Linked DNA regions of Lepisosteus oculatus. The main gene of each other region encodes a partner of the protein of the gene in region 2 in a complex. Links are inferred from orthologs where the notes say so. Each region holds a gene or a part of one and is shown on either strand. Other genes may lie near its edges.

Region 1 (13,135 bases), on a different chromosome or scaffold from region 2:
GTACGTTCCTGTGAAGTTCATTATTTTTTTGAATAAACAACTATAAAAAAGACCTTTTCATACTGATCACATTTACATACGCACAACATAAAAAGCAGTGGTCACCCTTCTGATGTAGTTCAGAAAGGAAAAGGGATCTGTAGTGTTTTCCCAACTAAACAAAATCCACTCCCAGATACAAATCCGAAAGACGTAAGATTTACGTCTGGACCAGTTTTGAGATTGCTGATATAAAGCTCTAGGGCAGCACAGTGGCACAGTGATTAGCACTGCTGCCTCACAGCACTGGGGCCCTAGGTTTAAATCTGGACCTGACGTGCTAGCTCTGTGAGTTTGTATGTTATCCCTGTGTTCGCATGTGTTTCCTCCCATATTCCAAAGACATGCTGGTAGGTTAATTGGCTTCTGGGAAAACTGGCCCTGGTGTAACTAAATGCATGTCTATGTCTGTGTGTGCCCTGCAATGGTCTGGTGTCCCATCCAGGGTGTATACTGCCTTGCGCCAGTGGCTTGGCTGAGATAGGCTCCAGCTCCCCTATGACCTATGAATTGGATGAAGCAGTTAGAAAATGAATGGCTGGATATAAAGAGCTTGTGTCTAATTAAGGACACCATACAAACAGCTGAGGAGCAAGCAGGGGTTATATTCATGAGGAAGAACAAGGGGAAAAACACAATATTTTGGTTGTGGAAATATCTTCAAGGATGGAAGTGTGGCTCCGTGGTTAATGTGTTTTTTCTGCTTTTTGCACAGAGCTTGCACACTAACAAAGCTCAGCTTCAGGTACTATAGACTAGTCTATAATCCTAAAAAATAATTAATAGGTTTATTCCACGCCAAAAAGAGAAGAATGAAAACACAACGTTTTGGCCGTGGAGCCTTTTCTCTCTTCTTTTTTCAGCATGGAATAAACCTATTACTTGTTCCTTTGCAGCCTGCGCATGCTGATGCAGCTACCCACCTGAATTACTACAAAATAATAAGATCTTCATGACAAATAAGACATATTTCTTTAACATACATCTTTAAAATGTGTGAGCAATACAATCTTAAATAGTAAAAGGTGAAAGGTAAACATATCAAGTGTATCACGTATGCATACAGAGTAATGCTCAACTAATGTTAAGATGTCAGTAAGAAATGAGAATATCTGTTAATACAATTAAATGAAATGCCTGCTATCAAAGTATTCACTTAATTGCTATTATTTTTGCAAGGCAATTTAAGTAGCTGCATTAATTAATCAAATATCATAAACATAATGGACTGAAGTTGTAGAGAAAATATACTGTTCATTCCTGTCATAATAAGTTAACTGAAGTTGTGAAAAAGTAAAAACTAAATTTTAATACACCTGCTTCAAACCTACATATAAAAGAGATGTCTTAAGTCAAATTTAAAATATAAAAATATTTCAACTTTATCTGAATTGTTGTTTTTCTGAAATAATTATTTAAAAATAAGGCTTCCAAGCATCTAGAGGAAAATATTGTTTTCAGTAATTAAAAAAATTTTCAATGACAGCTGGGAGAAACAGGACAGTAAACCCTGAAATATTGTTTTCTTTATTAATGCCCTTTTCATTGAGTATTTTGTTCATCTGAAACAGATCTTAAATTGTACTTCCCACATATTTTATCAAATAAATATAACATTTTGGTATGCTGAAACATATTTTTTCTGTTTAGAACTGTGAAACTTAAACAACCAGCAGCATTTTCAACAGTTGCATACCTTGGACTTCACTCAGGATTGTAATAAAGGAGTTGACTATGTGCTTGGACTTGCTTTTCTTGTCCTTTGCACCTGACAGAGTCTGGGAAATAACAGAAGTGTATATCTGAGGCCATTTATTAAAGGACTCTGTTGTCATTTATAAAGAAGCAGCTGTTGCAAGAAGATCTGAGCCACTTGCCTAAGAAAAATAATTGTTTTTCTTATAAATTATTTTAAAAATCAGATAATAAGATCATAGTGTACAGTTACTATTTCATTTTTTAAAAGAGTTACTTACATGTTTTTAGTAATTTGAGTGAAGGCTTGATTTTGCTTGTTTGGGGTATTCAGTCTATTGCATTCACTAGTAACCTCATTACGTGTCTTTAAAAAGGTGATGAGTATAGTGAAATACAAAATGTCAGTGCTTCATTCTTGTGATTGAATATCTGAATTTTTTACCTCCTCGCAAAGAACACAGAATTGGTATTTAAATATTTCTTGTTAAATCAACATATGTATTCATATGAATAATTATATAATATTATATAATAAACAAATAATATGATCATTTCCGTGTGGGGTTGTTGTACATGTTACGTGTTTAAAACAGCTAAAGTATCACTGCTTTTTAAAAAATAAATCAGTACAACTTTGCAAATATAAATGTTGTTCCATGCACCAGATGCCGGAGTGTTAGCATAAAAAAATTTGGTAAAAACAGAAAAAAAACAACAATAATAGTATCTGAAGATACTCTTTACCTCATGTCTGTAGCAAGCTTTTTTAAAACTATAAAAATAAACTAAAAGCTCTGCTCAACAGATAAACTATTACTGCTACTCCAGGTACAATTAAACACCAAAGGAAATTTCAGCTGAGGTTTGCTTCAAGACATACTATTGTACTAAAACTGTTTGAAGTATTGTATTTACCTTGTTTGCAGTCGCAGTAACCCCAGTCTATTCTTCCTCTATTGTTCCTGAAAAAACACCAAGGTCTGATCCTGCCATCGGGGTTCCTGCAGAAATTGTGGCGACCCAGTCCTTTTCTAGGGTATCTCTCCTCGAAACCGGTGATATCGCTCCAGTTCATACACTTAACACCAGACTCTGTTACATCTATCGATCCGTCGTAGTAACCTGCTCTGCCTTTGCTCTGAATGCAGTCGGTAAAGGGTAGAATGAATGAGACATCAGAGCCAAAACAGCATACTCTGGTGAAAAAAACTGAAGCAATCACTGCAAGAAACCTTGACCAGCTCATGGTGCTTTTAAGGCTGTGTTCATCACTCCACTGCAATCAATTAAAGCCCTTGGATCTGTGAGCAGCACGATCTCATAAACCTGTCCATCGGATCATTACATGTCCTGTATCCAAATCCGCGAAGGAACAAAATACCGGGAGATAACTCAAGTAGATCAATTCAGATGTGCCAGAGACAACCCGTAGCGATACGCCTCCCGCATATTGATCATTCCTGACGAGAACTAAGTTTTTTTTTTTTCACTTTGAGAAAGGAGCTTTCTTCGCACTTTTTCAAAATGAATAAAAATAAGATGACATGCGGGACACGAAACAGGAGAACAAAAAGAAGACAAGTATGTTTACGTGCTTAAAAACAATTCGCAACATTGCTGAATCGTCTGGGTAAATGTTTTCTTATAAAGTTTAACTTATTAAATATATTTAATAAACTTCCTTTAAAATAAAATTAATTTGCGTTATACATTCCTCCAAAATATGTACAGTTCCGGTTACGTTTTCATTTGAGTAAAATATTTAAAGAAAAATCCCTGTAAGTAAAACACTGACGCACATTTCAGCTTCAGCAGTTGTGCCAGCTGCATTATCTACAGCATCTGCATGCAACCCATGTTAAGTCTTGAACCGTGATCAATCCATTTACCAAATTATAGTTTTATTGCTTGTCAGCTTGTCCCCATGTCCTTGTCATGTACGTCCATTTAACGACGGAAAAATCAATTTTCCCAGATCTGTATGTCTGATTTTCTCTTTAGCAAAAATAATAGGTCCAAATCAGTCCACTGAAAAACTTCTCCGCTGACTGCTCCTGACTTGCACTGCCAACAATTCATTTTCTTCCTCCAGCCACTGCCACAAAATCGCTGAGTAGCGCCCCCGACTCCAACTAGCTGTAAATTCACATCTCAAGAACACATCCTTACAATTGTGATATTTGCTTTGCCTTCCTTTGTTTGGTAGAGTATACAGACGTGTTCTGTTCTAACAAGCAACCCAAACTTTACAGAATGTGGGTATTTTAATAACTCCTTTGTATGAATCGACCTCAAAAGAGCAGGCTATTTGTCTAAAACGTGGTTATTTAGACTACATTTTTATATACTGTACAATATATCTTACCACGTTAGAATAAAATATAATGTCTTTTAAATTCACTGGACAGACCTGAATGAAATATCTTGCTTGATGATACAAAAAACTGAGGCTCAGTCAGAATTTTACACTCCAGTCTATAATTCAGAGCCCTAACCTCTACCAAACGCTAATACAGAGCACATAATTTTAGGAAGTACTTTAAAAATACATTTTTTTAAGCCAGAGGCTTCAAGTACTTTAGTTTATGCCAATAGATTCTAAAACATACACAATGCTAAGCAATTTCTATTTGTTTTTTTTTAATTAACCTATTTAATGTATATATCTGCAAAATTAATTTCAAAAGCCTAGGAAAGCATATTATTATATAATATTAAAGAATCATACAGTTGTAATTTATTGCAGTACTTCTACTAATAGTAATCATTTCATTTTCTAACAGTTTACTCCTGTTGAAGATCATGGTGTTGACAGGTGGAGCAGGGCAGACCAGACTTCCCTTTCCCCAGCAACAGTCTCCAACTCCTCCCAGAGGATTCCCATGTGCTCCCAGGCCAGCCGACAGATATAAACCCACCAGTGTGACTTAGGTCTGCCCTAGGGTATCTTCCCAGTGGGCCGTGCCTGGTACACCTCCAGCAGGAGGTGCCCAGGGGAATCCTCACCACATGCCAGCAGCCATATCACTCTGCAACTCACTGGCAACCCACTGAAGCTAAGCAGGTGTGAACCTGGCCAGTGCCTGGATGGGAGACCTCCTGGGATAAACTAAGGTTCCACCCCATCACCCAGAGAGAGCAAGTGACTTGTTGATTGGGATGCTGTTTCTCCCAGTCATGCCGCTCCAGGTTTTTCCATCATTCCCCAGATGAATGTTGAAATCTCCCAGCAGGACAATGGAGTCAGAAAGTGGTGCCCACGGTACATAAGCACGGCAGTCAGAGTTTTCCTCTCTGCAATATGCAGTACAGTATTTGTTCTCATCCATCATGACAAATTCCAACTGCACGGCACCCAGCCAGGGACTTGTGAGTATCTCCACACCCACTCAGACTGTCACGGGAGCTGAATCTAACTCCCGAGGAGTGTGTTGTAAAAGACCCTATGCGTGACGGTATATTCCGGAAGTGTCTGGAGGCGTCAGGGAAGGCACAGCGAGGTAAGGTCAGGATGACAGACAGGGGGCCGTGACTGAGGTGATCTGGCGCATGGGGGGAGCGCAGGCAAACAAGTCCAAAGGAAGTCTAAAGGGGTAGTAAGGCGCAGTCCAAAATCCAGAAACCAGGAGATCCATCGGAGACCCAGATGATTAAAAACAGGAACAGGGAATTGGGACCAGGAACACAAAAGGTTAAAAGCATAATGGGGCATGGGACTCAGAGGAAAGGACGGCATGATGAAGCCTTTGCCCTCGGGCCACTCCTGAGCCCAGTGGTAGGTGGGCTTCCAGGTGTCAGTCTTTCAAAGCTGAGCCTGGAACTACAGAAACACTGGGCTTAAAGAAGGGAGAGGCAATGAAACACAGCTAACACTAATAAAACTAAGAACATTACAAGAATGGTAGGAGCGCCCTCTAGAGGAGGGATGATGACCGTGACACAGACCAGACATGCGAGGGACAAAGACCACCCCTGATTGAGAATTGTGGTTCCAGAACCAATACTGTATATAGAGGTAAGACCGACTATATCTAGTCTGTACTTTTCAACCTCCCATACCAGCTATGGCTCCTTCCCCAGTGAAGTGATGTTCCACAACCCAAGAGCCAGTTTCCAGTGCCAAGGTCTAGTCCATCATCCAGATCTTTCCCACTCCATCTCATTACCCGACCCCCATCCTTCACTTTGGGAGTGGCAATCCCACATGGCAGCTCCATGTAACCATTTTGAGTTGAGCCTGGCTGAGTTGTGTGGGTGATCCAGACACCAGGTGTTTGCCGGCAACATCACCTGGCCTGGCTCCAAGGGTGAGTCCTGGCGTCCATGGTCTGTGCAGGGTTTTCTCAGTTCGTAATGGAAAAACATCCCAGTCTAGCGTGCAAGGTTCTTTGTCTGGCCTCTCATCTAAGACCAAGTTGCCAAGGGTAGCCCTACCAGAAGCACAATCCACCTGACAACATACAGTACAGTAGTTCAGTAGCAGGGAGTAAACTCCCTGTGGCATTCAAACTCCTCCACCACAGCAAGGTCATGATTGCAGGAGATGAAGAAAGGTATGACATATATAGTAAGTGGAGAAAAATTGCTCTTTACACACCTCACTGTTTCAGTTTCAGTGTAAGAAATTCCAATCCTGTTCTAAAACATTTTATACTGTTTTATCCTGTAGGAAGTACATTAGGACATACTTCTATGTATGTTAGGACATGTTTCTAGTGTCATTTAAAGAACACACTTTAAGAAGAGCATAGATTTCTTTGTTGTTATGAAAACGTTCAAACAAAATATACAGATGCAGATCACTTGTCATACCTGTACTGAAATAAAATTTATTATAGTTGATAAGAACGGTTAAAATAAAAATGTTATGATTTTTATGTGGTTGATTAAGTCAGAAAAAAATAAGCATTACAATTGAATAAAGTTCTAAAAATTGTATTTCTATGTAGCGATTACACCTTCACCCAAAATCATGTGATTTACTCCTAAGAAGGCACATAAACTATTAAATAAAGGTGGTTTATTGTTAATAAACATTTTCAAGACTATTGTTATTTATGCAATCAAGACCTTGAATACTTTATTCCTATAACATGTTAATAATAACATGACCTTCTGCTTGTCATTAGTAATCATTATAACATTATAGGCATTCATAAGGCAGATTTACACTATTACTACAATCATTTTTAAAATAAAGTGCCCTGACAGTATTGTTTTTGCTGTAACACATTTTGAAAATGCACAATATTATCAATGTTTACGTCAGTCTTATTTGTCAGTCTTGTTAAAATGAGTAATAATTGTAACAATACTCATAATCACAAACCACAAATTATAAACCACGTTTGTTACATGACAAAAGCTTCCATTTCATGATTTAAGCTTTCTATACCGCCTATTCAGCTCTTAAGCAAATGTACTGTATGCCATCTTTGCTGAAGTATTCAGCAGACATCCATAATACTGTTTAAAGTTCAAACAGTGACCAAATTATTTTAGATTATGTGCATCGTGTGCTATGAATTCTACTTCTTGTTGCTGCCGACAGCTGTGTTGCCATTAACAGTTGCCCCGGGTTCATTTAAGCTTAACGTTGTTAAGCTAAAGGTTGGTTTTGTATTTATTACCTTTTTGTTTTGTACTTTTTTACTTTGCTGTGTTTAACAAAGATAAATTGTGTTAACCACACAATTATCAGAATATGTGATTTTCCTTTGTATATCAACTTTGTTAAATTTCTAATCCTCCTAGACTTTGGATTTTTGCGAACCACCCTCCTCTGCAGGGCTGAATAAAGAACTGTTTCTCCAGAACCCCGAATCGTCAGTGAAGTTCTTCCATGTTCATAAATCATACTTTTGTAATTTCTTCTTCCGTTTTGCATCTGTTGTATATTGCTGCATACAGCTGAAGACGTACGGCAATCTACTGTCTACATGCCAGTTTGCGCTGCAATGAGATTTAAACTCTTGTACACGCAACAGAACAATATACACTGATAAAAGGGGGATAAAAAAAGTAATATTGAAATGAAAGAACCACTATTATTTTTTCGACGACGTACCCTTACATGGATAATTTGTAAGTGCATTATGTTTTGACCAAAACCTATGAATGTTATACAAATACCTACAATCTCCTATATTGTTAAAATCTATTAGTTTTTTAAAAAGTTTTTAGTTCTTTTTTTTAAATAACTGGCCAATATTTGCATCTCTATCCTTTTTGAGTGGTAAGTGAAATGACCGAATAGCCAAGAAACATCATTTTAAATCACCGTTTTCTGTTACCCGGAAATGACGCAAAATATCCGCGACTCGTGCTGCTTCTGAAAGAAACGCAGGAGGGAAGAATTGGAATTGGAACTAAATGAGGATTCAGGCATTCTTTGAGAACTTTTGCTTCGGTATCGATAAAAAATGAACAGCCGTTTACAAGAAATAAGGGAAAGACAGAAGCTTAGAAGACAGCTTTTAGCACAGCAGGTAAGGAAGAACATTTGCTGTTTGTTCACGTTACGAAAACAAAAGATAGCATAGCTCCCACTCAAATTGTGTTCCAGAATTATGTGATTTGGATTATTTTTGTAGGGGATTAGTTAACAATTTTTATTTGTCAGTAGTTTAAGATCGTAATAAGGTGTTAACCGTAGAGAAGTTAGATTCACAAGAGAGCGAGTTGAGATAAATTACATCAAATTCAATATTGCTAAAAAACACAAATTCGCGGGTGTATACAGATCTCTAAAGCATTACGGCATTGCCCTTGGGAGTTGGATAAATATTTACCGTTCCAGTTCTGTTTTAATGATGAATTATATAATGAATAAATAGATAATGAATAAAATCGATACAAGCTTGTGGGGGCATAATTGCACCTAATTCCAATGTAAATTGACGTTAATAAATGCTGAAATTTTTTGAGTGGAGATTACATGTTATCATATTTTTGCTTGCTTTATTTATCTTGTTTATAAAATTAAACATTTTAAATGGTTTAACTAATGAACAGTAAAAACGTACTGTAGTTTTACGTCATTTAACTTAAATGATTTGTTGATCACGTGAGAAGTGCTGTTCTTTTTTGCAACAAAAAACTTTTAAAAAATCACGTGGTGGCTTAAAAGTATCGGGTGCTCCGAGTTTGATATTGGAGTCGAGTTAAAATTGCAAACAAAAATTGATTACGAATCTGCGCCAACCGCCGTTCAAAAATACAAATATAATTAATGTCAGAATATGAAATATCTGACCATGGCCTGCTTGAGAAATGAAGACAGCATGTTTGCTATTGGTGTGATTGGAGGTGACCTATCAGTAAAAGAAGTTGCCTGGAGAATGAGATGTTCTATTTCAACAATCGGCTCACTAGTCCAGAGAAAAGGGGAACCAAAATGCAGGCCTGGGGGGTGGATTTTCACTATGTCGGCCAGGACAGTCACATCAATCTGATCTATCTCCATAATTGTTAATAAACTGTATTGAGAAGCAGCAACGGACATTCCAGGAAGATATCACAGTAGAATAACTAGCTCACAAATTGCATGAAAATGATCCCCATACTCCATTCAAGTCACTGAGAGTAACAGCGATGGCTGAGACACAGAATTGCTGTCTTCTGTGGGCCGGAGCACATTTGTGGAGGCAACCGAGAGAGTGATGGACAGTTTTAATCGTGGATGAAACCATTTTTCCCCTTCAGAGACCTGCCAGAAGACATGCGAGAGGATGTCATTGCTAACATTGCATTTTTCAATCTGGGGGGTAGTAGAAGTGAAATTTCCTTCAATGAAAAAATGTCTTGGATGCAGATTAATGCAGACCAATATATTAACAAGGTCCTTGATACGACAGGTTTTCTGTAAATAAGAGCCAATCCAGGTGTCAAGTTTACCATCAGTACAATGAAAGACTATCCAGGGCTAGGATTACTGTGGCAAGACTTCAAGAAAACAATGTCCAAGATCTTGCCAAGGACAGCTTCTTCTCCTGACCTTTGTGTAATTGAACATGTGTGGGGGCAAATTGCTAATGCCATGGACAGGAGACAAACACAAACCCTCCAGCATTTCCTAGCTGGCGGTTGGTGCATAGAAAAGGGAAGAACACCATACATCACTGTATCCCAAAACTGGTCAAGTATTGTCAGGATTGTGGTAATGTTAATGGAGCTCATGCCCAATACAATTTAATTCATAACGTTCTTATTTTAAAAGTACATTACATATAGTGAAATCATGATTTTGTTCATGTCGTCTGATTTAACGTAATATTTGTCTAAAAAAAGATTAAATATAAAAAAAGTTGCCATTGTCACTCACATTCACCACCAGCTATGCAACAATGCACAAGATGTAAGATTTTTTCTAATGGAAAATCACTGAGTTGAAAACACTTTACTTGTGTGAGGGGAGTTTTTTCCTTTGCATCTCAACAACTTGTGGCAACTTGTAACGGGGGGCCTATATTTGTTATCCTAGAGCACTTTTTTTTTCATAATTGGAATTTTGGAAGATTGAAAGATTCCATGATATCAATTTGCTGAATCCAAAAGAACACAGTCGAACAAATTCTGCTAAGGTAATATACTGTATTTATACCGTTCTTCACAGCTAGGAGCTGAGAGTGCAGATAGCATTGGTGCAGTGTTGAACAGTAAGGAGGAACAGAAAGAAATTGAAGAAACCAGAGAGACATGCAGGTAAGAAAGAAACACTTTCATGGTTGTGTACAAAAATTGCTACAAATATTTGCCAGGCTAGAAATATGTTTGACAAAAACATATTTGGTTACATTTGGATAAATAGTTTAATAAGCACCCAAAGGTACTTTGTTAGGTTTATTATTGTACCGTTATTTGGGAACATAACATCTAACATGATTGTCCAAAAACTATACTATTTTGTTTATTGAACATGTTCTTAATATTGGCAGGAGCATATGATGATCCAATTCGGTATCGTCCTACATAATTATTATTCTATCTTTTTGTTCTTAAATATTAGAATAAGCCTCACAAGTTTGGATTTTTGTATTTCCTAATGTTTTAATCAATAGTATATTTATTGATAGCCGAGCATTTCTTTAGTCTGACATTTAACCCGTTTAATTGAAAAACATTCTTTCTTCCTCCATGATGTCAGATTATCGAATTTAACATCTACTGATTCACACGGATGCTGAGTTTTATTCAAGTTGTTTTATTTAACTTTGTTGTTGTAAACTGAACTCTGACTCTCATATATATATACTCTATATATGTCTTTATTTCTGTATGCAGTGACCTGTTCCTTTTCCTGATTCTTTGATATTCTGAATGTTAAGACAGTCTTTCTGCCAAGACTAGCGTAATCATTGTTTCAATGCCTTCCTTTACTGTCCCTGAGTCTAGTTTACAAAGATCTAGGACTCTAGAATATTTTCTCTGATGAATTTTTCTCCTGCCAAGGGCTTCTTATGACACTTCTTCACCTTCTACTAAACGCAAGTGTCAGAATGAGGGAGAAGACCCTGAGGAGGCTGTTGAAGAGCAAAAGGTAACATTGACAGTCTTTTTCTTTTGGTTATGTATTTTAAAGATAGACAAGAGACAGAAAGTGACTAATCTGGAAAACACCTTCATGGTTTACTGGGGTTGTTTTGTTAAAATCTGAATTTTGTTAAAATCGCTTTAGCTAGAATGTGTTTGCCATGTTTTGCTTTTTGGTTGCATGTCAAGTGCTTTTGGGTGTTTGTATTTTAACTGGACTTTGCTTTTTTTTCTTCTGAGAAAATGTTGGTCGTTTGCAAAAATATCATACAAAATTTACTTTTGGATAAGAAATAATAAGGAAAACAATATGTGCTGCGTTACATCTTTCTAGCCACCTGCGCAGTTTGAATATGACAGATCCCTGGATACCAAAACAACTCCTCAATACTAAATCACAATCCTTAAATTTGTGTTTTGTTCTTCCATTAATTTGATGTTCCATTCTTTACCTTTATTTGAAGTTTCTTTTATTATTTGCAAGGATGAAGTAGAGCAACAGCAGCCTGATGAAAATGTGCCATATGAAGAAGTGTACAAGGATTCTAGTACATTTTTAAAGGTGGGCTCCTCAGATTAGTTTCAAGGACAATATGTCTTCGTACAAAGAGGGTTTTGTGTTATCACTTTACAAGTAGTACAATTAAAACATCTAGATTCTGTTAAATATATTTTAGATCTGTTATTTATATCTTACATTGCTTGTAAATTGCTGTGCGTTTCACTGCTATATACAGTGCTAATAAGCATAATGTATTAGTCACTTGAAAAAATGATAGTATCTCCGATGACACTAAGTTGACCAATTTTTGTTTCAGGGAACTCAAAGCCTGAATCCTCATAATGACTACTGCCAACATTTTGTGGATACTGGTCATAGACCACAAAATTTCATTCGCGATGTAGGTATGTAATATGTAAAATATCTGAAGTTAAAGCGTATATAATTTTTTTTCTCTTCATAGCTTTTTAATTTTTCTTTTTCATATTTCTATTTTAAAACGAGTTGGTTACACTTACTGATAATGTTGATGTTTGGTTTGTGCAGTGCTGCCAATAAAATGTAAATTATACCTATGGATTACTGTTCTTTTTACCTTACCCTCAAAATGTATTCATATCAAGTTGATCAAGCAAAGATGTGCATTAGGATTTTTTTAACATTTCAGAATAAAAACATGGTAAATTTATGATTGTCATTACACAAATTCACCACAAAATAATGTTAGATATATCTAAATAAACACCGTGTCAAAGATGAAAATATAATGCTTTAAACTTTAAACATCTTAGGTATCAAAGGAAATTGAACACAGAAGTAAACATTCTGTATCATTTCAACATGTGAAAATGAGATCATTGTCTCAAGATCTAAGTTAAAAGATCAGTGACCTAATCAATTCCATAAGACATCTTGGTTTCAACTGTGCTCTCCAGATCCAAGATGTTGAAGTGGGTGGTTGTCACTTTACCAGGAACAGGATATAAGAAAATTTTACCCCAGTGTGCAGATGACATCTTGCATCTGGAGCGTGTGGTAGCGTTCTTTGGCGACATAAAAAGACACACATTTGCTAAACAAAATAATTGACTCCACAGCTGAAGGGAACCACATGATGTGGTTGTGTGAAATGTAAATTACATTTTTGGACTGTCTCATCTGGAGTATTATTAGCATGGAAGAATGAAGCTCGTGTTGAATGTTATCTCTTCAAGTAAAAGTGGAAATGGCTTTGTTCTGCATTAAGAGTTATTTGGCACCGTCCTCGTGTTCCCGTTAGGATGGCAGAACAGGTGGATTTCAAAGCTTACCAGGATATTTTTACAAAAAACTGGTGCTTTCTGTTGTTCAAGCTTAAGCATGGTT
Region 2 (12,751 bases):
TGTAAGCTCAGATTCCAGATGAGTGGGAGAAGAGTACACTGCTGTTGAACCCTTCAGCCTGGTACTTCAGCTGAAGTACTCCAGTAAAATACCCAGCTGTATAAATAGGTGCAAATGTAAATTGCTTTGGATAAAGGTGTGAGACAAATAAATTAGTCTTATTTTCCCAAATCTAAATGCGAATGAGGGTCTACTTAAATAAAAAACAACTAACGTGACCAAACTTCTCCAGCTAATTTTTTTTGTTTAAACTAAATAAAAATACCATTTTAAATGTCTACAGAATGAAGACCGTAACAAAAACAAAGTAATAAAACGTTCGCAATTCACTAAAATAAAGTACAGCCGTTTAACATATAGTAAATGAATTGTAATAGGAGGCACACGGTTGAAAGTTAAATACCTGTATTAACGGTCAAATATTAACTCGGTTAATCAGGCATAACCGGTTCTAAATTGTTTCTTGGGTCTGCTCAGATTTCCCTTAAGCACTCAACCAGAAATAACTGCAATGGAGGCTCCATCAGTTCGGAGTGCTGACCTTCACTGAACAAAATCTAGAGAATAGCTCAAACAGCATATCACCATGCTGCAAATGCTTGAATCTGCCTGGTACGTTCATGGCTATTTATTGAAGCTGCATCTGATTTAAGAAGGAAAATAGCATTCTCTTAGCTGCGAAAACAGTTTTTTTTCCCAGATTTCCACAAAGTTATATATATATACACGTTTCTAAAACCAGGCAGTACAAGCTGGTTCTTTTCTATGCTGCTTTTTAGGAGAAATGTGATCATATGATGATAGTATGATAACACTGATTTAATTGCCTATACAGTATTCAAAAACATCACGGTCTTATCTAAGATTGAGACGAAAGGTGCACAGTTCTCGAAAGGAGCAGTTCTCTCAAATGTTTAATTAAAGCAGGAATTGAAGCACTGGATCCAAGATATTTTTGCATTTATTTCAAAACTGCAAAATCAAATCTAGAACCACTGACTCATGCAAACACATCCTGGTCCACAATTAACAGAAATTTAGATGCTCCTACTCTCCATTCAGAGTTTGAAAATAAGTTCAGACAGCTGTCCTCCAGTTAGCTGAAGCCCTGTGTTACATCATCTCCAGTCTCGTGCTCCCAGGAAGCACAGAAGGGATGAAGTTCCTGCGGTCCATTACACAATTCCATTTTAAGGTAAACTGATGGTATTCAATGACTGTAACAAATCTTTAAAATTTGTACATTCTTTATAGAGCATACCGGCCATTGGTTTCCCTAAAACTCAAAGATTCCAGATGGGCATGGCCTTGCCTGTAAAGACCTAGAGAACTTTTGAAATGAAAGCTGCTTATATATTGCATCTCCTTTTTCTGTGTAAAAAAACAAAACTTGGGAAACATGCCTCAGGCATATATGCTTACAGCTTTAAATCCATACATTAACATTAAATGAGAAAATTATTTCAACAGCTTAACTGCACAGACGGACATACTGAATCTTCGCATGACTAAAGATGAGTGAAGATAAACAGCTATAAAAATCAATTGAATTAAAACTAAGTGCTTGATTAAAAACTCTGCAGACTTACAACTGTGCAGAAACATTGCACTCCACACCCAGGTCTCATGCTCCATTGATATGGATCAATAATAGATCATAGTGATGTTCTTTGGCTGAGACAATTTTAGACTCAGAGCAAATAAAGACTCCCTGAAGCAAATCACTTCATTTAGGCACTAAGGTCCTACTTGACTTTTTTTAATCAATAAAATATATTAAAAAAACCTTATAAAAACTGTCTTTGTAATACATAGAATTTAATGAATGTTAAAAAATCAACAGTCATTCTTCCCAATGTTGCTCTTGAAGCACTAGCAGTCTAATCACAAAACTGCTGGATCACCTGTAAAACATCACTCCTTAATGCAAATCTTATTATATACAGTAATTGGAATGTATTTAGAACAAACAGAAATAAATACAGCTGGCATGATGCACACCCATCATCAGTAATTCCTATTGAAAGGATGGATGCACTAGCATTCTCCAGTCCAGTGAATGCATATTGACATGGCATTTTTCAGTCCTGCATTCCAGTCAAAACAGACTAGATGGGTCAAATGACCCCTACTCATTCATAACCCTTCCTGTGTCCTTGCCTTACAGACGCTCAAGTACTATCTGACAGGCAGACCACAGTCTGTGAGACTGCAGAACTGTGTGTCTGAACAGGTAGTAAGTAACACAGGAGCTCCTTAGGGGATGGTTCTTTTTCTGTTCCTCTTCACCCTCTATACTTCGGGCTTTAAATACAACTCAAAGTCATGCCACCTGCAGAAGTCCTCAGACGACTCTGTAATTGTGGGATGTATCAAGGGTGGACAGGAGGAAGAGTACAGAAGACTGGTCAGCAGCTCTGTGGAGTGGTGTGGGGAGAATGTAACAAAGACGAAGGAACTGGTGGTAGGTTTCAGGAGGAAAAGGGTCAAACCTACTCCTGTCTACATCCATGGGAGAGGCGTGGAGATAGTGGACTCATGCAAGTACCTGGGAGTGCACATCGACGATAGACTGGAATGGTCTAAGAACACGAGGCCATCTACAAGATGGGTCAGAGCTGACTTTACCTCTTGAGGAGGCTCAGGTCCTTCAATGTACAGTATGAAGTAAGATGCTACATATGTTCTATCAGTCGGTGGTAGCGAGCACCATTTTCTACGCGGTGGTATGCTGGGGCTCTGGGATTAGAGCAGGGGATTCTAACAGGCTGAACAAGCTCATCAGAAGAGCAAGCTCAGTCATTGGGTCTGGCCTGGACCCACTGGAGGTAGTGGCTGAGAGGAGAATGGTGTCCAAACTAGAGGCCATCATGGACAACGTCTCCCAACCCCTCTATGACAGGCTTGTAGAAATGAAGAGCACGTTCAGCAATAGGCTGATCCATCCACGGTGCAACAGGGAGCGCTACAGGAGGTCATTCTTGCCTTCTGCCATAAGACTGTACAACTCATCCACCTTGTGTCTGGGCAGAGGCAACATTGACAGTGACCTGTGTCTGGACTGAACAGTAAACTGATACATGTGTTCTTTTTCTTTTTCCCATTTATAACCGTTTTTGGGCAATATATGCCAGGGACCTGTGCAATACATTTATATTTATATTGTGCAATACGACTTTTTTGTGTAGTTCTGTTCTGGTCTGTGAGTAACTCTTCTTAGTGCACTTCTCACTGTACTGATTGTATTGTACGTATTGTATTATTATTATTGTATCATTCATTACACTGTTGCTGTGTTGTCTGTGTTAAGCTGCTGTTGCACTGCAATTTCCCTCACGGGATCAATAAAGTATCTATCTACTTACTTTATGGTCCCAGATGGGAAATTTGCTTTGCAGGAAGCTAAATGACATAACACAACATAAAAAAAATAACTTAGTTCTATTTCACTTGAACCTAGCTAGTCTTAATTCACATCTTAACGGGAAGAGCTCAAATTTTGCTGGCTACCTTCACAATCGTGTTCATATTGAATGTATTAAGGTTACCAAACCTGGGTTACCCACTGAATGTTAGGAGAGATTCAATACTCAAGGGTTTCAAACATGATCTTAAGAAGAGAAGTATCATCACAACTATTAAGGAGCTAGTACATTTATAATATTTATAATGTTGCTTAAAGCTTCATTTAAAAAAACAAACACCCTGGTTACTGTCACGGTGGTAATGGACTTATAATTTTGTAATAATTTGTTCATTTATTTCCATTGAAGGCCCTCAGGAAGCCCTGTAGTTATGCAGGACAGATGACAGGGCTGATTAAACGACATTTTCAGCTAGGATGGGACTTGCACCATTCTTATGAGTTAAAACCCATCTGCAAGTCGAAATGTAATGGATTGCTAAACTGAATACCCTGCTAAATTATTAATTTTTAAATAAGCATTACAATAAGTCCATAGTATTGTTACAGTACATAAACAATCGTGATTTTTTTTGCACAGCGTTGTTTATTGCTCTCCATCAGTATTTACCCATTTTTTGTTCATTTGGTTTTGGCCTCTCTTAATTCATAGATCTTTCCAATTCTCACAAATTCGTTGCAGGAAGTCAGTAAGGCTGATCGGCGGTGGAGACTATCTGATCAGGGGAAATAAACACATCGATTTGTTTGAATTTTGAGGAAACATGAGCCAATACCCGTCTCGAAGTGTCCGGGGCCTTCTGCCTAGAGTACGAAAGTCCCTGTGTTAGTTCCACTGACAGTGGGAAGCCGACGCGCTCGGTTCTTCAGAAATCTGACCTTAAATGATTCGTTTGAGACGCCATGATTTTATTTGCCGATTAAGGATTGTTATTTATTCATAAAGCCTGTGCAAAACAAACATTTGCATGCTAAAGCATTCCAAGCTCAGAGGAAGGTAAAGCTAAACCTATACCTTCCAGTTTTAATCTAGGTAGCATGCCATACGGAAATATAATAAAAAAGCACCCTATGTCAGTCAAGGCAGTATCATTTGCAACAATGGCTTCTAAAAAACTAACACAGTGTTGCAGTGACAAAAGTTATGTGCAAACTACTTTCCCGGCATGTCTATAGTGTCATATTGCAGAACAAAAGCAATCAAATATTTTGCATTTTTTTTTTTAACAACAAGGAACTCGATGCAAACACGGTCTTGCTGAAACTAGAGCTCAATGTGCTACTCATCGTTGTTTTAAAAACGATTATCACTAATGGACACGCAGCCTGAAGAGACACCCACATTTCAAGAGACAAACATCAATATCAACGATAAAAAATCTTACCTCTGCACTCTGATGTTTAAAAGTATCCAAAAAAAGAAGCTCCATTGAAGAGTCCGCAGCCATGTTTCCTGAATACAACAGGATATACTTCCGGGTAAAAGGAACAATAACATCCGGCTGTTAAAACTCGACGTCAATAGTGTATGTGCGATCGGTTATTTTTACAGTTCTGTGTGCTCACTCAGCTTTCTAAAGACTGTTTTCAATAACATTCTAATTTAGCAATTTTATCAGTTAATATGTTTTTCTGTCATGAATATATTGTTTTAATACAACACAGGTAATCAAATAAACTGCTGAAAAGTAAATAAAGGTCCAAATACAGCTGTTTTGACTGGAGAAATAACGTGACTTTCATTTAATTCTGATTTAGAATTCTAAAGGATATGAATAGGATGAGTTTCTCACAGGAGAACAAGAGCCAGTGATATTAATGTCTGTTTAACAGCAAATGCAAATCTAAAAATGTCAAATTCTGGTGTAGATTATGAAGAAGGAAAAGCAAGTTGTTCTTTATGGAGTGACTAGGACTGGTCCTAGAAAACTGCAATCCTTAGAAGTTAAACCTCTCATTTCTAAAGAACTGAATTTTTGTTTTTGACCACTTAGACGCGTGATTTGAAGTGAAAATACCAACACCCCCTGGATCTGAAGGATGACAGCTGGCCACTCTTTGTTTAAATTAACTAATTAACTAAATTGATCAAAACTCACATGTAGGCTTTGGTCTTTAGAAACTGATGATTTAAGAGTGACCTATAAGACCTGTTAGATCATGGTTCAGAAAGACAAGGTTGGCCTCCCTTAGTGTATGTAAATCCACTGTCAAAAAGCCACTTCTCTTTTTGGAGAGTCATAATTTACCAGAGCCTATCTCAGAAGCTGAATACAAGGCAGATAATGGAGAAAGAGACCATTAAGAAGAGCCAGTCAAATCCTGGTCGGTTTGTCAGTGGGCGGGTGGCCATGCCACACTTCTTCCAAGGAAGATTGTCCTGTCTCACAGTAGGATTTATGTACTGTACTTTGGTCATATGACAAAAGGCTTTAATTCTGACTTCAATCTTTAATCCTAAACCCGACACCTTACTCACATGGGTGTTTGATCCTATTTGTTTGCTGTACACTGCAGACCAAGCTGTTTTTTTTTAAATGGAAGTAAATTTATCTACAAAGTGGTACATGTGTTAATTTACATTGGTTTGGCTGATCAATTTTACAAGCATGTCTGATCAGCACCGTCATTTTCTGATTGTAGGTGCTCTAAAATTGTTTGCATAGTATTTTTAGTAAAGCAAATGACACTCTTTCACTTCTCTTTAGTAAATGTAATTTTTCACAAAATGTTGTCAGTTTTACTGTCTTCATTTAAAAGGGACACTACTTGCCTCCTGTTTAGTGCCTGTATTTTTCAGCAATAATGAACCACTGAAATAAATGCTTTACACTAAGGTCAAGCTCAGCTTGCAATATTTGCCTCACATTCAGTGGGAGTAAAATATTGTGATTTGCCTCAAACTATGGATGATTTAATTTTTTCTGATAAAATCAGGGATGCTGTGCATTAAGCAATACCATTAAAAAATAAGTAATAAATAAGTTCTAAATTCTAAATTTATATGATTTTTTTCAGCAATTAAACAATAACGTATTGCTTCAAGAGTTTGTCATTTATGTATAGTGTACTTATGTCTTTAATATATAATGTTTTCTGCATTTTTTCGTATTTCATGATACGGAGCTATTTGTGCATGGGGCTATAGTTTAGAAGAGGGTTTAAAATCGAGACGTTTCTTAGAAAACATATAAGAATGAAATGCATACGTCACATAACCTAAGTAAATTAACATTTATAGTAGTAGCAAGTAGTAGCTTTTATCATTAGGTCTGCAACATGTAGTAGACCGATGGCTGCTTCTGTCATGCAAGGACACACCCGGTAAACACAAAACGTTATTCAATTTCCATATCTCTGTCTTCAGATATATCTGCCTCGTAATCTCACTGCACGTGGACTAAAAGCTACACTTTTAATTTCTGGAATTTACTTTAAGAGAAATTCTCATTTGATATTCTTATAGACCGATACTGGATTAATAATTGTGACGCCTTGACGAGTACCCGGAGTTTGTAGTTGTTGTTTTTTTTATTTTTGTAATTGCGTATTTTACATATAACCCTCAAAGCATTCATACTGTATACACATATGCAGTACTTATATAACTAGATACATTGTCAGATTTAAACTGTAATTCCCTTTCAAAGGCATTTAAGGTCTAATCTTGTTTAGGTATAGTATATCATGTTTATTTGAAAGTAAATTAATTTGACATAAATACTGTTTATTAAATCATACGTTATTTGAATTTTACCAACTGCCTGCTGTTAATTTTGTAAGACCTTATTTCTTCAAAAACTATCCTTTGATTCTGAGCTTCTCTTCTTTAAAATCGTATTAATTAATATGAAATCCCCTAGCATGAAAGGAAAGAGTAACTTTTTTAGGATTGTTTCGTTAAAAAAAACAAGTACCGAGCTTAATAGGTCATTAAAAACTCATTTTAAAATTGTTATTCGGACAGAATGGGTTATAAGTTACGAGGTAAGAGTCATTAAATATCAAAGCAGTTAGATACCCGTACGAAATAATTTGTAATGATACACTGAAGTTAATTTATTTTATCATCATATATTACAATGCATTTTATTATTATAATTTTATAAAATAATAAAACATACACTATTATTTCTCTGTTCTTCTGTATACAAAACTTCTGTCGCTCCAAGTCCTGAGGCGAAAGATGCTTGTCTTTCTCTGTGCTAGCCACGTCCCTGTTTAAAAGCACCAATAGAATAGAGCCCAGCACAAGGCAGGTATCCATTACCTGAGTCACGTGGGTCTCAGACAGGTAAATGCACAAAAAATAGTGAACGTTCAGCCATTACGAGGCTATGAGGGGGGTGCTGCCTGTTTTACATAGGTTCTCACGCAATCGCCAAAGCCACTAAATACCTGAAGCCAGTCAAACACACCTAGCTCTGGACACATAAGGTGTCTGTAGGTGTAGGGTTGTTTCCTCTGGTTCGTTTTGGGGGTGTTGTTTTTCTTCTTCAGTAGGGTTTTCTTTCTTTTAGGTGCGTTTTGTTTACTTTTTTTCTTTTGTTATTTTTTCCTGTGAACAACATGACGGCAACTTTTGATTATTTGGTGATTTTCTTTACTACGACGTCTGGTGCCAATGGGGATAAACTGGGATCTGATGAAAAGGAGTTAATTCATTTGGTGTGGCAAACTGTGGATCTGGCGAACAAGAAGGTATCTAGGAGTTTGTCCTCTTTTGCCATCCTTTTTTTTTCAGATGGTGTGCTTTTTACTATCCAGGTGAACCCGAACGACTGTTTTCAAGGGCGTTCTGTGAAGACGGTGCCTGTAAAAAGTGATTTCTTAAATTCCACTCAACTTTAGACCAGGAATCTACTATATACATTCATTTTGCAGTTATATTGCCAGAGTGAAATGAAAACATAAAACGCGACGATGAAAGCCATTTTAGTGCCTAATTGTCCTGTTTGAGTAACGTGATTTTTGTCTAGGGGTGAAAACGCGATGATATAGTTTTGTACATCATAGTATATGATTATTAATGTATCCATTCATATTTTAAATTTCTTCAGACGGGAAAAATTCACGAAATTCTCGTTAAACCCGAAAATTTGGAACTGACCGATGAATGTAAAGAAGAGAGTGGAATTGGAGAGGAGTCGGTTTCCACTGCACAGCCCTTAGAGCACGCCTTGAACCAGGTGAGCAGTTCCCCGAATTTCAGGCCCCTCGAAATTCAATTAATTAATTGTTTATTGTTTTAAACTATTGTGGGTGTAGTGGGTGGCCTTGTCGGGTCTCTTTTTTTTTTTAATCGGGAAGCTATATCACTTTCTTGCAAACTTAATTTAGAAATTATGTAACCCCATTTGTGTTGTATTGCCGATAATTTGTTTTGGGAATTGGAATATTTTTGGAATTTAGTTAAGAAAATGCTTATGTGATAGTTTTCGGAAGAGATGTCGGTAATAGAGGAGCATTCCACCAGCAGTGTTAGTATCTGCTATTTTTTAAAGCTCATACAGTCATGTGAAGGACAGGATTATAATCTTAATGCAAATATTTGGATTTGAATAATGTGGGAATAGGCGGCCATTATGTGCTGTAGTATAAAGTGCTTTTTACTGCGAGTCTTTGTCCGAGTAAACATACATCGACTTCTGAATTTAACTCTTGTAGTGTCTGTCGAGTTTTTGACACAACGTGGAATTCTTAGCCTGAAACTGAGCTGATAATTAAACTCGGATGAAACGGTGTCATCTCACCTTGGCCTGCAGTCATTGACATGTTACTGACTGAATGCTTAGGTGGCATAAAGTAACAATAGCGAAAATACTTTTACTTCCAGTGTATTACATTCGTTAATAGTTTAATGAAAGAAGCAAACAGAGCCTTATTTCTAAAGCGGTATTGCATGTTCTGTGTTATTTTGGTTTTACAGAGGTCATCTCCGGCAGTGCTCTTCAATTTCCTTATAAACGTTTTTTACAGGCAATGTTAGAGTACTAAAGAAAATAGTTTGGGGTTCTTCGGATATAATTTACAGGATTAAGGAAACGTTAACCCTTGCAATTTTTCAGCAGTTCTTTTTTTATGAACTGTCTTATTAAGAGATATTGAAATATTTGACCATGGATTGACATTTTTATTGCTTTTCCTTGGGAAACTTATGCCTACCAGAGCACATACTGTATATTTACATGCCCACAGTTAATGGAACTGAATGTTCCTTTTCTGTTCAGGTTAATCAGCATCTGTGTAATGAAGTAAATATTGGCGTGAAGACATTCTGTTTATGCACTGATGGCCAACTTCACATCAGACAAGTCATCCACCCAGAAGCATCCAATAAGGTAAAGGTCTCTCCAGCACACAGAAATGCTGGGTTTGGGAACATTGTAATAAAGGTATTTTTTTATTAATCTGACCATTGCACATGAGTCTAGAAAGATGCCCAAAATTCTTAATAACCTTTTATTTCTAAAGGCATTCAATGTCTCCATCTCTAAAGCTGGAAACATGCTTCAGTTTTACAGTCAAATACTGAAATGGAAAGAATTTGCCGGAAATCCTCAGAGGTGGGTGGAATAATTTAGTCTGAAGTACCGGATATTTCAGATGTCTCCACAGGAAAAAAATCACTTGGAGATAGACCAGTTAAGGTCAGCCAAGCCAGTCCTTATTAACGGACGTTGGAGAGCCTGTCCTAAAGAACTCCAGGGAGTGTTCAGCTTTCAAGAACTGAAAAATTGCTTCTTAAGTTGAAATAAGGGGGAACATCAGACTTTGCAGATCCAGAGTGGAATTAAATCAGGATATAGGGGTCAAAACAGCTACTCTTTTGAATAAGAATCTTCAATGACCAATAACTGCAGCTCTTCCAACAGGTTGTCTGCCTAATATGAACCTCAATCTCTATGAAAGTTGCAATGGTGCAGTTAAGAAATTTCATAATTTACTCTTTTTTTACAATGTTTTTTTAAAAAACATTCTGTAGGATCTCCTCTTCCAGTCCCAGTCCTTCTGCAGCTCAAATAATATGATGTTGTGAAGTTCAGAGCTTGTAATGGACAGATTTAAAAATCACCTTGCATAATTATTCATCCATTTAAGTCAATAGGGTTAAAATTCGGTAAACTGGGTTATCTTTAAGATTCTGAAAGTTCATGTACACTGTGGTTCAGAATGTAGCCTTTCAAATTCACCTGTCAACCTGTTAACTTGGCTCAAACTTCTTAAAGTGTATTTAAGCTACTCTTGAAGGGCATGTTTTATTAAGATAATAGTTAGCAACACAAGACAAGCTTTGCAGTTCTAATTGTAAAATGAGCCATCCAAACATATCTAAAACAAAACGTTCATTACCCTTTAGAAAAATGAATATCCTTAATACACTGATGTATAGAATCTATAAATGTAATGCGACTATTGATAGATTTTTAAAAAATAAATTGCAGATGCGAATATAACTTTTGTTTTGGTGCAAATAGCCATGAGTAAAACCTGTACATGTACCCAGTGAATGTATTTAAGTTTAATTTGTACTTTTAACTAAAATAATGTAAAAAATCTCTTTTATACAGAATATTTTGCTGCCTGAATATTTCTATTCCTTTTTTGACCTTCGGAAAGAATTCAAGAAAAAATTCCCCACCTCGCCGGATCTGAAGGATTTAAACATTCAAGTTATGGCTGACTGTATCCTTCCTTGCATCTGAACCTGAAATTCCAGGTGCAAAATGTTTGAAATGAAAATTAAACAATAGACATCTAATTTCATAACTTCTTTTTGCAGCTTGTATGTGCATGAATTGAAGGTACACCACTAATTGTAGGTCAGTTCCAGTTATTTATATTTGTGTAGAGCAAAAAAGCAGATATACTTTGTTTTTTATATATGTATACAATGTAAGGATGAAAAGTCCGTAGCTTTGCTTTGGCGTTTACGAGGTAAATAAAGACTCCTACTGCAAATTCTTTTTACATCATGGTGTATGATACATTACCTGATTTCATTTCCCCCAGCAATAAACCTTCTATAAACTGGATGATGTTTTTTCGATCTTAGACCCTTTTCTAATTTGTCATCCCTTAAGTACTGGTTTGAAGTGGGTTTGGAGGATGTAACCTGGGAGTCGGCTTTTGAAGCCCTGGGTTTTGAAATGCAAATTAAAAATACAATGCTAGTGGGTCACTGAATATCATGAAGAAAAGCCCATTCTGTTTAGACAACAAAACACACCTTCACACCCTTCACACTGTTATTGTAAGTTGAGTCACACCATAGACCAAAACACAGTCCCAATCGTAGTATGTTGTAAGACCCAGAGAGCTCTGTAGATGCATATACTGTAGGTAATGTAGCTGCATCCACATGCAAAGGAACAAGTAAAGGTGTATTCCATGCTGAAAAGAGAAGAAAAATGCAACTTTTCGGCTGTGGAGCCTTTTTCGGGTGTGATATCTAATGTAGCTGTATAATACAGTATATAGAAAGTTGTCTGTAAAACCCCACCAATTCTCTTACCTTGAGATAATGGAATTAATTAAGCGTCCAAAGACACATTACAAGTAACTAATTTAAATTTGTAAGAATGCTATTTTGTATTCTTTTGCTGTAACGGAACCATGTCATAAAAATGCCTTCCGCTTGTATGGATGCCCTCCGTTGTTCTCCAGGAATATTGAAAAGTTGTTCAGCCATCCTTGACGGGAAACTTTGCAGACTTAAATGCAGAAGCCGATTCGTCATCTTACAGCCACACAGCTCACAGAGTTCAGACCATGGCCAACGTTGTCCTGGCATTAATATCGGATCCGAAAAGTAAGTGATTATTTCTACTGTTGTTTGGTTGTGCAGAAATACCCTCGAGGTCCTTGAAATCCGTTTTACTCAATGGAAGTAAGGCAGGATTTTTTCATGGCTTCACCGTGTCTTCCACAGATCACAAATTCTCAGACCCAGAAAGAGTAAATCAGAAATTTGAAACCGGCACGTGGTAAGCAAAAATCCTTTTTTTTTTTTTTTTTTTTTGTTCTTTGCACAGCTGTAATGGACTGGGGGGGAAAAAGACAAATATCAGATGTCTGTTGGGCAAAGTGGAGAGTGTCTGCAAAGTGACAGTGTCTCGTTAAGTAGGAGCTCCAGTTTTGGAGTTAACCAGCGTGCGGTCTGAACATTTGACCCCTGCAGCAGCAAGATGGAGAGGGTGGATGACAACACGGTGATCCGAGCCCGTGGTCTGCCCTGGCAGTCGTCCGACCAGGACATCGCCCGCTTCTTCCGGGGCCTCAACATTGCCAAGTCAGTCCTGCCGGCACGCCGTCCTGCGGCGATCC

The links.
Region 1: virma (region 2) and mettl14 share a complex: the UniProt entries of both Homo sapiens proteins name them as parts of the WMM complex. The link is inferred for Lepisosteus oculatus from reciprocal best matches to the Homo sapiens genes VIRMA and METTL14.

What each region holds. Positions count from the first base shown.
Region 1 is NC_090696.1:11,927,991-11,941,125, reverse strand, and holds the start of mettl14 (N6-adenosine-methyltransferase non-catalytic subunit), read left to right. Parts: upstream 1-8,035; 5' UTR 8,036-8,159; coding exon 8,160-8,225; intron 8,226-10,351; coding exon 10,352-10,440; intron 10,441-11,187; coding exon 11,188-11,275; intron 11,276-11,752; coding exon 11,753-11,830; intron 11,831-12,086; coding exon 12,087-12,174; intron 12,175-13,135. Other genes in the region: prss12 (neurotrypsin), read right to left, coding at 2,653-2,983. UniProt on the Homo sapiens protein: The METTL3-METTL14 heterodimer forms a N6-methyltransferase complex that methylates adenosine residues at the N(6) position of some mRNAs and regulates the circadian clock, differentiation of embryonic stem cells and cortical neurogenesis.
Region 2 is NC_090705.1:7,601,453-7,614,203, forward strand, and holds the start of virma (protein virilizer homolog), read right to left. Parts: upstream 4,888-12,751; 5' UTR 4,873-4,887; coding exon 4,810-4,872; intron 1-4,809. Other genes in the region: esrp1 (epithelial splicing regulatory protein 1), read left to right, coding at 7,994-8,125, 8,485-8,613, 9,655-9,765, 10,996-11,110, 12,138-12,236, 12,357-12,411, 12,606-12,716. UniProt on the Homo sapiens protein: Associated component of the WMM complex, a complex that mediates N6-methyladenosine (m6A) methylation of RNAs, a modification that plays a role in the efficiency of mRNA splicing and RNA processing.